Macaca fascicularis: one gene and its partners. The main gene of each other region encodes a partner of the protein of the gene in region 4 in a complex. Links are inferred from orthologs where the notes say so. Each region holds a gene or a part of one and is shown on either strand. Other genes may lie near its edges.

Region 1 (4,128 bases), on a different chromosome or scaffold from region 4:
TAGCCAGGATGGTCTTGATCTCCTGACCTCATGATCCGCCCATCTCGGCCTCCCAAAGTGCTGGGATTACAGGCTTGAGCCACCGCGCCTGGCCAATTTTTGTAGTTTTTAGTAGAGACAGGGTTTCACCATCTTGGCCAGGCTGGTCTCGAACTCCTGACCTCATGATCCACCCACCTTGGCCTCCCAAAGTGCTGGGATTACAGGCATGAGCCACTGCGCCTGTCCTATTTATTTATTTATTTATTTATTTATTTATTTATTTATTGAGACAGAGTCTCACTCTGTGGCCCAGGCTGGAATGCAGTGGCGCGATCTCGGCTCACTGCAACCTCCCCCTTCCAGGTTCACGAGATTCTCCTGCGTCAGCCTCCCGAGTAGCTGAGACTACGGGCACCTGGCCCAGCTAATTTTTTGTATTTTTAGTAGAGATGGGGTTTCACCGTGTTAGCCAGGATGGTCTCGATCTCCTGATCTCGTGATCTGCCCACCTCAGCCTCCCAAAGTGCTCGGATTACAGGCATGAGCCACTGCGCCCAGTAACGTTATTTTACTAAATCCTGTCTCTGAATGCAAGGGATACCTGGCCTGTTTTTATTCACCATCACTGTAGGTTGCTGAGTAAATGCTGAATTAATGAATGCGTCACTGAGTCAGTGACTGATTGCCTTCACACAGCGAGTGCTGGGCTGGGATCCTCCGTGAATCTGGGGAGGTGAGGTTTGCAAAGACAGGACGGATCTGGGGTGGGGAGATACCCAGGCTAGGCTGGCACTCAGGGGAGAGGACAGAGGTGAAGGGACTTAAAAAGCACCTAGAGATATGCCTAGCTCTACCTAAGACTCTCAGTTAACCGCCTAAAGTAGGGACACTTTTTGCCATTGCACAGGTAGGGAAACTGAGGCCCAAGGGCATTAACCCTGACCTGGCCTGGAGCCAACAGAGGAAACCCTGTACAGTTTGATGCACAAATATGTATAGAGTTCCCACTAGGCTCCCCGACCGTCCCTAGGAGCCGAGCTGCCCCTTTACCCATTCCAGGCCTCAGTTTCCCCGCCCACACTTCGCCCCCGCCTTATGGGATTCTAAACTGTCCCCGCAACGTGGGAGTTGAACGGAAACTACAACTCCCAAGAGGCCGTGCAGCCAAAGACACACGAGAACTACGGAGGGAGAGTCTCGCGCAGCAAACTGCCGTTCTCGCAAGGCTCGGGCTGCCCTTGGCGCTGCCGATCCCGGAAGTTGCTGCATTCAGGCGTTCGCCGACGACAGCCCATCGCGGGGCGGGGTTACGTGGAGGGGGCCTGATTGGGAGTCGGCGCAGGCGCAGTCCGCGCGGGTTCTCGCAGGCAAAACGGGTGCGAGTGGCGGCGATGGACGACGAGGAGGAGACGTACCGGCTCTGGAAAATCCGCAAGACCATCATGCAGGTGAGCCGCGCGTGGTGTTGGGGGCGGGGGCGCGAGCAGCAGGTGCAGGGGCCCGAGGGGAGGTCGAGCTCGGCGTCTCCTCGTACTCCCGTCGCAGCAGCAGCAGCGACGGAGGGCCCGGCCGACACGGGAGACCCCGAGGCCGCCGGGGATCCCAGGCGCTGGGCCCGACCTGAGCCGGCAGCGGGGAAGGGAGGGGGTTTCGAGACGTCTGGGTGCGGGGCTTAGCGGTGGGCGGGCGGCTTGGGCTGGTGCGGCGCACATGGCGGCGAGAGGAGGAAGGTGCGAATGGGGACGGGGGGCGCCCCCAGACCCTGCCCCACTCTGTGATTCAGCGTCGCCATTTGTCCTTGCGCCCTGAACCCCAGGGCGTCTCAGCATCCGAGGCTGGCGGAGTTGGTGGTTGGGAAGCAGCAGGCGAGCTGGGGCTTTCGATGGGGACGTGGAGCCCGGAACCCGTGCCTCGGGGTCTGAGACAGATGGAGGCCACTGGGCCGACTCCGGTTTGGAAACTGGGCAAATGTCTGAGGGCCTGCGGTTCAGGGTCCTCCCTCAGCCGTTGGGGCCGTTTGGGAGCTTTTGTTTTGTCTTGCTTCCCCACCCTATGCCCTTGTCTTTAGCGCAGCCCCCCGCAGCCTGATTCTCCTTCCTCCGGGCCGCAAACATTGTCAGCCTGAAGTCACATCTGTTTCGGTCCCTGTCTTTTTTTTTTTTTTTTTTAAGAGACAAGCTCTCACTCTGTCGCCCAGGCTGCAGCGCAGTGGTGCAGTCATAGCTCACTGCATCCTTGAACTCCTGGCCTCAAGCAGCCCTCCTGCCTCGGCCTCCCTGAGCTCTGGGGTCGCGGACGTGACCCCCCACGCCCCGTCTTTGTCCCTGTCTTTAGGGTAGCTCTGCAAAGTGGTTTGGAGGGCTTTGCCCCCTGCCAGGTTCCTGTGAGGCTGGATAGACGGACGGTCTTGGTCAAGGCTGGACACCTCTGCGAGCCTCTCGGGATCACGCTGGTCCCATCCTGTGGTGTGGGGCTGTGGGGGCCAGGATGGCTGTCATGGGGCACACAGCGAGTGTTCATTCCGTTTGCTGTTCACCTCTGTCCTCTGCAGCAGCCGCAGGTCTGACTTCTGGGTCACGAGCTCTGGCCGCCTTCCTGTCTCTGCCCTGGGGTCAGCTGGTTCTTTCTCTCTGCAGCTGTGCCACGACCGTGGCTACCTAGTGACCCAGGACGAGCTTGACCAGACACTGGAGGAGTTCAAAGCCCAATTTGGAGACAAGCCGAGTGAGGGGCGGCCGCGGCGCACTGACCTCACCGTGCTGGTGGCCCACAACGATGACCCCACCGACCAGATGTTTGTGTTCTTTCCAGGTGAGCAGCGGGTCCCCGGGGGAGTTCTGGTGGAGCCGCCCGAGCACCTGCTGAGGAGCCGGCCGCTAGCACCCCCTCCCTCCCGCCTCGTGCCCAGCGTTTGATCCTCTGCCCAATCTGGGAGGAAAACTTCCCCTCCTCTTCCTTGCTGTGGGCGATGCCGTGGACCTCTGACCCCTCTCATGCGCAGCCTCTTTCTGGTTTCCCTCTCATCGGTCCCCTTTCTTCCTGCCAACCAGGAGAGTCCCATGGACCTCCCTACTCACCCGCAGCCCCTCATGACCTTTGCCCTACCTGTGTTCCTTGGCTCCCTCATCCTGGCCGTTGGGTGCACTTCCAACTTCTTGGCCTGGCCCAGGAGGCCCCGTGTGGGTCAGCGCAGCCTCCTTGTGAGCTGTGGCCCCTGTCTGCCCCAGCCCATTCCTCTGCACCCCATGCCGCCTCTGCCCTGTCAGCGTCCGCTACTCATCCCTCGAGGTTGTGCTCAGGCCGCTTTTCCCGGGACCCCTGGGACCCTCGGTTTCAGCACCTGCACCGTGGAAGTCTCCCCACCTGTCTGCCCCCCCAGGATGGCTCTAGCGCCCTCAGTGGTTGGGGGACTACCAGCGCCTAGGGACACAGCCGCGTGCCCAGAATTAATCAGTGGGGTGGACGGAGCGTGTCTGCCAAGCGGGTGATGCTACTGCTTTTTTTTTTTTTGAAAGTCTCATTCTGTCACCCAGGCTGAAGTGCAGTGGTGCCATTTCGGCTCGCTGCAGCCTCCACCTCCTGAGTTCAAAATTCTCCTGCCTCAGCTTCCTGAGTAGCTGAGACTGCAGGCACCCACCACCATACCTGGCTTTTTTTTTTTTTTTTTTGTATTTTTGGTAGAGAGGGGGTTTCACCATGTTGGCCAGGCTGCTTTCAAACTCCTGACTTCAGGTGATCTGCCTGCCTCGGCCTCCCAAAGTGCTGGGATTACAGGCGTGAGCCACCGCGCCCGGTCTTCTTCTTGTTCTTTTTTTTTTGAGGCTGAGTCTCTCTCTCTGTCGCCCAGGCTGGAGTGCAGTGGCGCAATCTCGGCTCACTGCAACCTCCACCTCCTGGGTTGAAGCAATCCTCCCACCTCAGCCTCCCACAAAAAGCTAGGTTTACAGGCATACACCATCTCACCTGGCTACTTTTACTTTTTTTAGTAGTGTTTATTTATTTGTTTATTTGGTTTTTTGAGACGGAGTCTCGCTCTGTCGCCCAGGTTAGAGTGCAATGGCACAATCTTGGCTCACTGCACGCTCCTTCTCCCGGGTTCACACCATTCTCCTGCCTTAGTCTCCAGAGTAGCTGGGACTACAGGTG
Region 2 (4,208 bases), on a different chromosome or scaffold from region 4:
AACCAGGATTTGAACCCAGACAGTCCACTTCTCCCAAAATTTCATTTTCTTACCTTGATTCCGATACTCAAAAAGACGGGGATCAGCATGAATGGGAATGAGCCCCAGACGGTGAGCAAGGATCTCATCCTGAACAATGGATGTATTATTGTACACCAGGACCTTCTCCACAGCCATAGTTGGCACCTGCCCAAGGAAAAATAACCACTTATCTGCAAAAACCCAACAGACCCCCTACCTATCCCCACAACCCCACCCTCCAGAGGTAAGGAGCTATCTCTCTTCCTAGAATGTTTAATGAGAAATTTACAAAGAATGAGAAGGTAAAATGCTCAGCAAAATTCCAGGAAAAATGAGGGAAGGACAGCTTGAGACAATTCTCCAAGTGAGGTGTCAGTGCAGTTCCCAAAGCAACTCCAGCCTTGTCACCATGCCTGCCAATACCTCAGCTAACAGAATTCGTCGAAAAGCATTGGCAATGGCTGCGTCAATTCCCACCATGTCGAACTCCAGTGAGTTTTCATCCATGTGTACTACATCCACACGGAAATTCTAGAGGGACAGGAAAAACATTTAAGTGAAACCTGCTCTCTCTGTAATATCTCTTCATACCTCCCCCTTAGATAATTCCCTCAAGTATTATCCTCTCATCCAAAAACCTCCCTTTGCCCAGATGTCCCTTATTAAATATTCTTTCTCGCCCAGTGCTTTAGTTTCATAAAAAGTCTCCATTTTTGTCGTCCATTCATTAAAACCCTATGCAATATGGCTTCCAACCAAACCATCCACAGAAGCTATTCCACTAAAGAACAGAAACTACCATAGTGCTTAGTCCTGTTGACACTACCCAGTCCTCTTACTAGACTTCTGTTATGCTTGACATTGATTAAAAAACCTCCTCTGGGCCCAGCACGGTGACTCACACCTGTAATCCCAGCACTATGGGAGGCCGAGGGGCGGATCACAAGGTCAGGAGTTTGAGACCAGCCTGGCCAGCATGGTGAAACCCCGTCTCTACTAAAAATTCAAAAAATTAGCTGGGCATGGTGGCGCGTAGCTGTAGTCCCAGCTACTCGGGAGGCTGAGGCAGGAGAACTGCCTGAACCCAGGAGGCGGAGGTTGCAGTGAGCCAAGATTGCACCACTGCACTCCAGCCTGGGAGATAAGAGTGTCTCATGAAAAGGAAAAAAAAAAAAAAAATCCCCTTTTTTGAACGATTCCCCTGGTTTCTGAGCTCCACTCTTCTTCCATCTCTGATGATCAACTTCCACCCATCTCTAAATTTGCCAGGTTCTTGTCTCTCTCCCAGGTCACCTTAACTGTACTAACAGTTTTAGCAACTATCTGTTCTGACAACTCCCAAAATTTTATCTCACTTCTGATCTCATTTCAAGCATGCAGTCTTCTAGCCTGCTAGATTTCCCCACATACAGAAAACAATGCATCATCATCCCTGTTCCCCAGACCCATTTCTCCTCTTAGTAAATGATACCACAAAGCAAAAAGCAGTTCCCAAGCCAGAAAAAGTCATTTTATGCTACCCCCACAGCCTTTATCCAAGCAATCATAAATTTACCTTATATTCTTCCTTTGCTCTATTTCTACCATCAGTCTTAGTTCATATCTTCAACCTCAGCTTCCCTTACGACAGATCTGCCTGCTCCATATGATCCTCCTCAAACTCATTCCCTCCCAGCCATCAAGGTTGCAAATCTGATCATGTCTGCTTAAGAAACTATTCAAGCTCCCTATCATCCACAGTGTGACACACTTCAATCTTGCCGACCACTCATGCCAGAACTACTTGGACATTCCCGGAGCACATGTCACAGAAGTCATAATTTTTTTTCAAGCATTAGCCTTTTTCATTGTTCATACTTTATTCCTTGTATCAACAGGTTAAAAAAGTAAAATTTTCCCAGGCACTGATTTACACATCATGTTTATAAGCTGCATAAAGGGTAACATTTAGGTCAGTTGCATAAAGGGTAACATTCAGTAATCTATTTAAATGCAATTTTAACCCTTATTTTAAGCTAAGTGAAACAATAATACAAAAGACTAAATACACACAAAACCTGCATATCCTGAACTTCACTGACGTGAAACTCAAATCTTTCATAATTCAACTCCTGTTTTTTTTTTTACTTACCATTCAAGGTTCAATTCAGGTGTCCCCTCCTCTTGAAATGTTAAGTACCTCTCGGCCCCTCTTCCTGGTCTCAGCGGAATGCTCCCCACCCCAACCCTGCCGTCTTCATCGCTATCAACCACCTTCACCATATTACACTAGATGCACTTGTTTATACGCACCATTCCTCAACAAGACGGAATATCTCTGCAGAGATAGAAACCGTGTCTAATTTGGCCTGTAAACGGAGCGTCTAGCACATTGCTCAACAAACACAAACGGAGCGACCCCCAAAAGCAGCTGCTGAGACAGACACAGGCTGCTCAGGCCACAGGGTCTGGCCTTCATAACCCTCCCCAGACAACTTCGGCCCCACTTACCTTCTCGAAGCGGTCCTGGTCCCAGGCATCATCATAACCGGAATAGTTTCCGGGAAAGTCAGTGGTATGGACCTAGAGCAAAGGGACGAGTTTGTCCACAAAGGGACAATGAGCCCACGGCTATCCCCACGCCAATCCCAAGACCCACCCCTGTTCCGCTCTCATTCCTCCCGCCCGAGCTCAAGGCCACAAGGCTTACATTGCGAACCCCAAACTCCCCTAGAACCACGCGGCCCCGCATCTCCTCCACCGCCTGAGAAGCCGCCATCTTCAATCTCTCCACGAGACTGGAGGCTCTATCTGGCGCGTGCGTCCTAGTAGACTGGCTCCGTCTCCGTGGCAACGCGCCACCGCCTGGAATCTTAAATATCGCGAGACTTTTCCCCGCTTCCGTCCACGTCCCCAGCCTCCGGAAGTTGGTTTTGTCCAAACATCCGGGCTTCTCTTTTTTGTGTTCCGGCCGATCCCACCTCTCCTCGACCCGGGACGTCTCCCTCACTAAGGCCCACGTCTCGCCCACTCCTCCGCGCGCGGGGCTAGCGCGGGCTTCAGCGACGGGAGCCTTCAAGGGACATGGCAACTACAGCGGCGCCGGCGGGCGGCGCCCGAAATGGAGCTGGCCCGGAATGGGGAGGGTTCGAAGAAAACATCCAGGTAATGGCCCCAAGGCACTAGCTGCCAGCAACCCGAGGGCCAGCGATGTCCAGAAGTGTCTTGAGGATTCTCCCTGTGGGCCTGGAAGTCCGCTCCATTTGCAAAACTCTCTTCTTTGGGTCTTCGTGCACACTAAAGTCAGTAGGATTAACATTGACCTGAAAGGGCCAGACTAGTACTCCAGCCTGAGGGTCTCGGGTCTCTGGGCCCGCTCGAGGCATTAGGAAGAAGGTATTCTTGGAACAAGTTAGGAAGTTGGTCGGGGTCAGGCATGGAGTGGGGTTGGGTGGGGATTCACTGGCATTCGCTGAAAACATATTATGTGTATAGTTTTGTTTGGGGCTTAGGAAAGAAGGAAATGGGCACTTTTTCAGCCTTTTAGTCTTTGGTAGGTAAGGTAGGAAAAAGACAGGAATGGAAGACTAGTAGTATGTTTCCCAGGCTAGAAAATTCAGCCAAAGCTAGAAACCAAGAGTTCTGAGAGCATATGAGGGGGAATGGAGTGGCATGATCTGTAGTGATTCCGAGCCGTATCCTCAGCAGTGGAAGAACAAAGCCCTAAACCCTGGGATGAGCAGAGGACTTAATGGATGGAACAGAAAAGTCCTGCACTCTAGGAGCCATTGTCTTCACAGGGCGGAGGCTCAGCTGTGATTGACATGGAGAACATGGATGATACCTCAGGCTCTAGCTTCGAGGATATGGGTGAGCTGCATCAGCGCCTGCGCGAGGAAGAAGTAGACGCTGATGCAGCTGATGCAGCTGCTGCTGAAGAAGAGGATGGAGAGTTCCTGGGCATGAAAGGCTTTAAGGGACAGCTGAGCCGGCAGGTGGCAGATCAGGTAAGCATGATTGAATCTTCTGCAGGTGGAAAGGTATACCTAGGTATGTCCCATGTTCTGGAGTTGGTGTTGGTGATGTTTGCCCCAGGTTGTCCAGTTAGAACCATGTAGAAATCAAGCGGAAAATAGGCAACAGGGTCTAGAACCAACAGTCCCACAATACCTATGCCCATCTTCCTTACTTCAGATGTGGCAGGCCGG
Region 3 (4,238 bases), on a different chromosome or scaffold from region 4:
ACTTTTCCCCTTCTTTTTGGACAAGGGACGCTGCATTTACATTTTGCATTGAGCCTCACAAATTACAGAGCTAGGCTTGCTGCTGAATATGGCAGTGAGGGACATGCCATACCAGTCCTGGAGCTTAGTCACTGCCCAGCCCCTGTGGATCAAATGCAGTGTCAGACTTTTTATCCCCGAAATTGTCCAATCTATGGAGCAAAGGAGGGTAAAGAGACCAGATTACTTTTAAGGCACGCGCTATCCTAAAATGATGTAAACTATAAAATAAGATTAGACAGCTTTACTGGTTTTTGCGGTGTATCATATGAAAACAGAAGTTTGAAACCAGAAAAATCAAACCAGTTCAATCCTTTTAAAAATTTCTTTGGGAGGCCGGTGGCTCACGCCTGTAATCCCAGCACTTTGGGAGGCCGAGGCGGGTGGATCACCTGAGGTCAGGAGTTCGAGACCAGCCTGACCAACATGGAGAAACCCCGTGTCTCCTAAAAGTACAAAAAAATTAGCAGGGCATGGTGGCACATGCCTGTAATCTCAGCTACTTGGGAGGCTGAGGCAGGAGAATCGCTTGAACCCGGGAAGCGGAGCTTGCGGTGAGCCAAGATCGCGCCATTGCACTCCAGCCTGGGCAACAAGAGCGAAACTCGGTCTCAAAAAAACCCCAAAAAACCGAAAAACAAAAAAAAAAAACAAAAAACTTTCGAAGAAAAAAACCCCACCAAAACTAAACTAGTTTACACAGCTTAATCTTAACTCAGGAACTGGTCAAGGAACTAATGGTGGGGGGCGGGGGGGATGTAGGAGGAAACTGAGGAAAAAGAAATCCTCCACAGGTCTCACTTGTGACGTGTTAGCCAATTCCTGGGAGGCAGAAAGGGTGAGCTCCCGAAACAGGTGCAAAGGTGGGGAGGAGACCTGGGCGTGCTACGGCATAACACTGGCGTCCAGCACAAAGGTTACAAACTTCGAGTAACCTTCCCGAATATTTTCACACACAAGGGTTTTGAAGGCAAAAGTAGACACAGGATGACAAAACACTCATTCACACATCCCACCCGTCACCCTCACCACATACTCGGGACCAGGTTTAGAAAGCCGGGAGACAGCTCAGCAAACGCGAGACCACCGGAAACGACCCGGGCTGAGAGGCTGTTTCCTCGCAGTTCTCATCCACTCACAATTGGCCGCACATTTTCTTTTTGTTATTTGCCGAAATGTTCTTGGCTATTCCACTTACCGAATCGGTCACGCAAGCAAAACACCAGAATCCCGATCTCCGCCTACGCCAACCCCGCCTCCTCAGAGTAAGCGAGCTACAGCTCCGCCCACGTTAGTCGCTCCTCCCTGCGCGGCGAGAAAAATGGCGCCCCCGCGTCGCGACTCCTCCCACCGCTCGCCTTCTTCCCGGGAGCTAAATTGTATCGCGAGATTTCTGCCTGACTATTACTTGGGCCGCGGGGATATCCCACCCTTTTCTTCCGCGCGGTTGGAGGACATCGGCTAGTTTTCCGGAGTTGGAGGACTGAAATCGGGAGGGTGGTGTGTGCAAATCTCCAGGACTCACGCACCAGGCCAGTCGCAGGTTTTGGCCCGAGGCCTGGGTTACGGGCAGCAAGTGCGCGGTTGGGGCCGGTGTGAGGCGGTTTTAGGTAGGTTGCCAAGAGGGCAAGGCCGTCTGGGCTTGTTGGGCAGGGGAGGCATTGCATATCTGGGGTTTCGGCCCCTGCGTTGTTCCGGAGGATTGAGCCTCGGAAGTCGGGCCGAGAGGGTGAAGGGATCACGGTTGCAGGCCACTCCGCGCCACGCGGCTGGTATGAGGCCCACAAACGTGGTTGTAGTGTGGGCGGGCTTCATTATATCTTGAGATGGAGGTGTTAAAACGTGTTGCAGACAAGTTTAACCTTCTTAACGTAATTTAAATGATTTAACCTTCATATGTGAGGTACCCATTGATAGCGCCGGTTTCCTGGAGGTTAGGCGCTGCCCGGAGAGACGCGCTGGTGGTCACAGAATTAGCTCCGGGTAAAGCGCCGCTTTCTGCCCACGTGGCCTCTAAGAATTGCAGAATTCCAGCGGATGCATCGACACCCAAGTAGGAGTGTCTTCTAAACACTAAGAAAAAAGTGATTCTTGAGCTAGCTTTATTTTGATAATCCCTACTTTAAAAAAAAATTAACCACAGGTATACCATTAATGCATGGGGCCAAATTTTTGTTGAATTCCGTTTTTGAGCATTCGATATATAATGACTTCGTAGAATCCTGTACTTAAGCTAATAAGACGTACTACCAGAAAATTACCACAGGGGTCCATTGGGCATTTAACAAATCTGAGCTCTTGGTAACCTTATCGTTTTATATTTTAAATGTTTTGCTAGTTCATCCTAGGATTTATATGCAATGACTCATGTTAGGTCCCAAGAAGCTACAGAATGAGACAAGAGATTGACTAAGGCAAGTACAATAGTGAAATAAGTAGTTATCCTTCATTTTTGTTGCCATGCCTATTTTTTTTTTTTTTTTTTTTTTTTTCTGAGACAGGGTCTTGTTCTGTCGTCCAGGCTGGGGTGCAGTGGTGCAATCTCGGCTCACTGCAACCTCCACCTCTGCTCAAGCGATCCTCCCGAGTGGCTGGGAGCACAGGCACGGGTCACCACACCTAGCCAGTATCTTAAGAATTTTTTGTAGAGACAAGGGTCTCCTTGTGTGCTGAGGCTCACTACATACAACTTCCACCTCCCAGGCTCAGGTATTCACCTACCTCAGCCTCCTGACCACAGGCGCGCGCCACTAGCCCGGCTAATTTTTGTATTTTTTGTAGAGACGGAGTTTCACCACGTTGCCCAGGTTGGTCTTGAGCTCCTGGGCTCGAGCGATCCGCCCGCCTCGACCTCCCAAAGTGCTGTGTTACACAGGCCTGAGCCACCCAGACCAACCTGTTTTTTCTTTTAGCTCACAAGAAGGAATCTTTTTTTTCTTCTTTTTTTGGCATGTTGTATACTCTACCATGGGGATGAAAACACAAAGAATTATGATAGTTTATTGAAAAAGGTTGAGAATTCAGAACTTGTCAGTTTCCACCAATAATGGCAAAGATACAGTATGACAAAGTTCAGTTACTTAAATGAATCTAGGAATGAAGAATCTAGGAATTATAATGGAGAGGTGATCAGGGTCTGTTGATTGGAGATCCTTTTCCTGGTTTATATAGGGCACATTTTGCCTTAGGAATTCCCTCTTTGATCTTGGAAAATGGTTTTTAATTTTACATTAATACTGTATTGGTAATTGCACGTTAGTAAGTGGCTAATGATAAAACTGTATTTTCTACTTATATTGAAAGATGCTTTTTTTGGAAGTGACAGTACTTTTTTGGAATCTTGTTCCATTGAATACATTTAGAGGGTAAAAACTGAAAGAACCTGTGAATAGAATTTCTGGATTTCTTTTTAAAGAAATTGATCTGAAATGGATAAGAAGGTTAACCCCGGCAAATGATTTTGCCTAAAATCAGTGGCATAGTCTGACCATGTTGAATATTATAGTAGATACTGTGTCAATATTTAGGGAAGCTTTGTCACATTTACTAAATTTCATAATTTCAGAAAACTGTTATAAAACAAAGCAATTGATGGATAAATCAGGAATAGATTCTACCGACCATGTGACATCTGATGCTATGGAACTTGCAAATCAAAGGTAAGTGGGTTTTTACTGGAGAACTGAGTGGATTCAATCATATTTATTGTATCTGAATTATGAGAAATTATTTTATATAATGAGTGACAGTAAAGATGATTTTCAGGAATTGGGAAAGAAGGAAAACCAGATTTCACTGACCTTCCAGGTTTATCTAGTTAATGTAGATTGATAATAGCATTGCAAATACTTTAAATTCAAAATGTGAATATATTATAATGGGACACATTCTTCAAGAAAAAAATGTATTCTTTGGGTCATATTAGCATCTCTTCCAGACTACCTCTTCCTGTTTCTGTCTGGTAGGCTGTGTTTGTTTTACTCACTCTTAGCAGTGAACCAAACCATACAGCCTTTGTGGAGCTCATACACCATACAGCCTTTGTGGAGCCATACGTTATCTTAAAAGATACATAGTTTTTTGCTAAGCTGAGCACAGTGGTGCATGCCATTAGTCCTAGCTAGCTACTTGGGAGGCTGAGTCAGGAGCATCCCTGGAGTTCCAGGAGTTTGAGGTTGCAGTGAGCTGTGATTGCACCA
Region 4 (4,265 bases):
AACATTCATATTTGTTTTCTACTAATACTTTTATATTTTTAAATATGAAAGATTACGTTTAGATCTTTGATCCATCTGGGATTTACTCTGGGGTGTAAAGAATAAGGAAGAGATCTACTTTAAAAAATAAATTTAGCTTTAAAATACAACGAGTATACATTTCTGGATACAACTATACAATTTACTGGCTGGGCACGGTGGCTCACACCTATAATCCCAGCACTTTGGGAGGCCGAGGTGGATGGATCACGAGGTCAGGAAATCAAGACCATCCTGGCTAACATGGTGAAACCCCATCTCTACTAAAAACAAACAAAAAAATTAGCGTGGTGGCGGGCACCTGTAGTCCCAGCTACTTGGGAGGCTAAGGCAGGAGAATGGCATGAACCTGGGAAGTGGAGCTTGCAGTAAGCCAAGATCGTGTCACTGTACTCCAGCCTGGGCAACAGAGCAAGACTCTGTCTCAAAAAAATAAATAAATAAATAAATAAATAAATAAATACAATCATATAATTTACTGTTGTTTTAACTTTCTCTTAGAATATTCATACTCTGAAAAATAAAATCAAACAAAGCTCACCTGCTTTATAATATACAATTTTCTAAGCACACTTGACATATATGTAAATATGTGTCAGAGCATATACATATATATGCAGTATTTTCCACAATTCTCTGGAATGTTATATTAAAATCTGATGTTATATCAATACTAAAATATTTTTCCAGAAAGTTTCTATTTCATTTTCTCAATGTCGTCTCGCTTTCTTGGATCTTGATTTCTTTTTTGTTACACTATATTTTTTCTCGAAAAGTTTCTTCTCAACTAAGCTCACTTCTTCATGGAGAAGGGAAGTCTTTATTCTGAGCAGGAAGGAGAAGAGATTTAGTATAAACTGATAACTCAGAGAATAATTTGATTCTTCATAGGTTGTCACGTGTGTACAATAGCTAGAAGGGAAAAAGAAAAAAGAATTTCTCTTTAGATGGTAACCAAGAAAGGCACACACTAACCCCTGAACATCTCCCCAAATAACAAATATATATGGTTAGGCTTAAAACAGGACCCTGAGCTGGAAGGAAACCTAGAAGAATTTGGTAACTCCTTAACTGCACAAAGGAAAACATGTTCACACTGTCCACGGCCACCACACAAGGGCCACAGGTGGTGCTAGGAGCTGGTCCTTCAACTCTCTGCTCGAAGTTTCTTCACTCCAGATGGGGCACCACTCCACCTTCTTACCATGGTCAAGGCAAACAAAAGCATACAAGGAGATATTCTGAACATATTTCTTTTTTTTTTTTTTTTTTTTTTGAGACAGAGTTTCGCTCTGTTGCCCAGGCTGGAGTGCAGTGGCCGGATCTCAGCTCACTGCAAGCTCCGCCTCCCGGGTTTACGCCATTCTCCTGCCTCAGCCTCCCGAGTAGCTGGGACTACAGGCGCCCGCCACCTCGCCCGGCTAGTTTTTTGTATTTTTTAGTAGAGATGGGGTTTCACTGTGTTAGCCAGGATGGTCTTGATCTCCTGACCTCGTGATCCGCCCGTCTCGGCCTCCCAAAGTGCTGGGATTACAGGCTTGAGCCACCGCGCCCGGCTCTGAACATATTTCTAAAACAAACTAAAGAAAACAAATAATCCCCGACTTCCACCCAACATAAGACACTAGACTTTTTTTGTTGTTGTTGTTGTTTTTTTTTTTTTTTTTTTGAGACAGAGTCTCGCTCTGTCGCCTGGGCTGGAGTGCAGTGGCCGGATCTCAGCTCACTGCAAGCTCCGCCTCCCGGGTTCACGCCATTCTCCTGCCTCAGCCTCTCGAGTAGCTGGGACTACAGGCGCCCACCACCGCGCCTGGCTAATTTTTTGTATTTTTTAGTACAGACGGGGTTTCACCGTGTTAACCAGGATGGTCTCGATCTCCTGACCTCGTGATCCGCCCGTCTCGGCCTCCCAAAGTGCTGGGATTACAGGCTTGAGCCACCGCGCCCGGCCGACACTAGACTTTATAATGTAGCTTGCAATACTATATGTACTGTAGGAGAAGAGTTTACCAAGCAATTTCCCTTATTTTAAAATAGTAAAGCCTTCCATTCCAAAACGGCCAAATAGGAACAGCTCTGGTCTGCAGCTCCCAGCATGATCGATGCAGAGACAGGTGATATTTGCATTTCCAACTGAGGTACCTAGTTCATCTCATTGGGACTGGTTGGACAGTGGGTGCAGCCCACGGAGGGCAAGCCGAATCAGGGTGGGGCATTGTCTCACCTGGGAAGGGATTTCCCTTTCCTAGCCAGGGGAAGCTGTGACAGACTACACCTGTAAAATAAGGACACTCCCGCCCAAATACTGCACTTTTCCAACGGTCTTACCAAACAGCACACCAGGAGATTATATCCTGAGCCTGGCTCAGCTGGTCCCTCGCCCATAGAGCCTTGCTCACTGCTCGTGCAGCAGTCTGAGATCAACCTGTGAGGCAGCAGCCTAGCAGCTGGAGGGGCGTCTGCTATTGCTGAGGCTTAAGTAGGTAAACAAAGCAGCTAGGAAGCTTGAACTGGGCAGAGCCCACCGCAGCTCAGCAAGACTTGCTGCCTCTGTAAACTCCACCTCTGGGGGCAGTGCGTAGCTGAACAAAAGACAGCAGAAACTTCTGCAGACTTAAACGTCCCTGTCCGACAGCTCTGAAGAAAGCAGTGGTTCTCCCAGCATAGCATTTGAGCTCAGGACAGACAGACTGCCTCCTCAAGTGGGTCCCTGACCCCCATGTAGCCTAACTGTGAGACGCCTCCCAGCAGGGGCCAACTGACACCTCATACAGGTGGGTGCCCCTCTGGGACAAAGCTTCCAGAGGAAGGATCAGGCAGCAGTATTTGCTGTTCTGCAGCCTCCACTGGTGATACCCAGGCAAACAGGGTCTGGAGAGGACCTCCAGCAAAATCCAACAGACCTGCAGCTGAGGGACCAGACTGTTAGAAGGAAAACTAACAGAAAGGAATAGCATCAACATCAACAAAAAGGACATCCACACCAAAACCCCATCTGTAGGTCACCAACATCAAAGACCAAAGGTAGATAAAACCACAAAGATGGGGAGAAACCAGAGCAGAAAAGCTGAAAATTCTAAAAACCAGAGCACCTCCTCTCCTTCAAAGGATTGCAGCTCCTCGCCAGCAACGGAACAAAGCTGGATGGAGAATGACTTTGACGAGCTGACAGAAGTAGGCTTCAGAAGGTCGGTAATAACAAACTTCTCTGAGCTAAAGGAGGATGTTCGAACCCATCGCAAGGAAGCTAAAAACCTTGAAAAAAGATTAGACAAATGGTTAACTAGAATAAACAGTGCAGAGAAGACCTTAAAAGACCTGATGGAGCTGAAAACCACGGCACGAGAACTATGTGATGCATGCACAAGCTTCAGTAGCCGATTCGATCAAGTGGAAGAAAGAGTATCAGTGATTGAAGATCAAATTAATGAAATAAAGTGAGAAGAGAAGTTTAGAGAAAAAAAGAGTAAAAAGAAACAAACAAAGCCTCCAAGAAATATGGGACTATGTGAAAAGTCTACGTTTGATTAGTGTGCCTGAAAGTGACAGGGAGAATTCAGGAAATACAGAGAACACCACCCCTTGAGAAGAGCAACTCCAAGACACATAATTGTCAGATTCACCAAGGCTGAAATGAAGGAAAAAACGTTAAGGGCAGCCAGAGAGAAAGGTCAGGTTACCCAAAAAGGGAAGCCCATCAGACTAACAGCGAATCTCTCAGCAGAAACTCTACAAGCCAGAAAAGAGTGGGGGCCAATATTCAACATTCTTAAAGAAAAGAATTTTCAACCCAGAATTTCATATCCAGCCAAACTAAGCTTCACAAGTGAAGGAGAAATAAAATCCTTTACAGACAAGCAAATGCTGAAAGATTTTGTCACCACCAGGCCTGCCTTACAAGAACTCCTGAAGGAAGCACTAAACACGGAAAGGAACAACCGGTACCAGCCACTGCAAAAACATGCCAAAATGTAAAGACCATCGATGCTAGGGAGAAACTGCATCAACTAACAGGCAAAATAACCAGCTAACATCATAATGACAGGATCAAATTCACACATAACAATATTAACCTTAAATGTAAATGGACTAAGTGCCCCAATTAAAAGACACAGACTGGCAAATTGGATAGAGTCAAGACCCATCAGTGTGCTGTATTCGGGAGACCCATCTCATGTGCAGAGACACACATAGGCTCAAATAAACGGATGGAGGAAGATCTACCA

The links. The genes of interacting proteins can lie anywhere in the genome.
Region 1: TAF1B (region 4) and POLR2E share a complex: the UniProt entries of both Homo sapiens proteins name them as parts of the pol I pre-initiation complex. The link is inferred for Macaca fascicularis from reciprocal best matches to the Homo sapiens genes TAF1B and POLR2E.
Region 2: TAF1B (region 4) and POLR1C share a complex: the UniProt entries of both Homo sapiens proteins name them as parts of the pol I pre-initiation complex. The link is inferred for Macaca fascicularis from reciprocal best matches to the Homo sapiens genes TAF1B and POLR1C.
Region 3: TAF1B (region 4) and TAF1D share a complex: the UniProt entries of both Homo sapiens proteins name them as parts of the transcription factor SL1/TIF-IB complex. The link is inferred for Macaca fascicularis from reciprocal best matches to the Homo sapiens genes TAF1B and TAF1D.

What each region holds. Positions count from the first base shown.
Region 1 is NC_088393.1:1,665,944-1,670,071, reverse strand, and holds the start of POLR2E (DNA-directed RNA polymerases I, II, and III subunit RPABC1), read left to right. Parts: upstream 1-1,328; 5' UTR 1,329-1,373; coding exon 1,374-1,430; intron 1,431-2,618; coding exon 2,619-2,793; intron 2,794-4,128. UniProt on the Homo sapiens protein: DNA-dependent RNA polymerase catalyzes the transcription of DNA into RNA using the four ribonucleoside triphosphates as substrates.
Region 2 is NC_088378.1:128,003,812-128,008,019, forward strand, and holds the start of POLR1C (DNA-directed RNA polymerases I and III subunit RPAC1), read right to left. Parts: upstream 2,801-4,208; 5' UTR 2,780-2,800; coding exon 2,711-2,779; intron 2,584-2,710; coding exon 2,512-2,583; intron 553-2,511; coding exon 445-552; intron 187-444; coding exon 54-186; intron 1-53. Other genes in the region: protein YIPF3, read left to right, coding at 3,085-3,165, 3,801-4,007, 4,195-4,208. UniProt on the Homo sapiens protein: DNA-dependent RNA polymerase catalyzes the transcription of DNA into RNA using the four ribonucleoside triphosphates as substrates.
Region 3 is NC_088388.1:92,775,366-92,779,603, reverse strand, and holds the start of TAF1D (TATA box-binding protein-associated factor RNA polymerase I subunit D), read left to right. Parts: upstream 1-1,438; 5' UTR 1,439-1,649; intron 1,650-2,377; exon of another isoform or gene 2,378-2,453; intron 2,454-3,604; 5' UTR 3,605-3,630; coding exon 3,631-3,698; intron 3,699-4,238. UniProt on the Homo sapiens protein: Component of the transcription factor SL1/TIF-IB complex, which is involved in the assembly of the PIC (preinitiation complex) during RNA polymerase I-dependent transcription.
Region 4 is NC_088387.1:112,150,899-112,155,163, forward strand, and holds the end of TAF1B (TATA box-binding protein-associated factor RNA polymerase I subunit B), read right to left. Parts: intron 952-4,265; coding exon 750-951; 3' UTR 501-749; downstream 1-500. UniProt on the Homo sapiens protein: Component of RNA polymerase I core factor complex that acts as a GTF2B/TFIIB-like factor and plays a key role in multiple steps during transcription initiation such as pre-initiation complex (PIC) assembly and postpolymerase recruitment events in polymerase I (Pol I) transcription.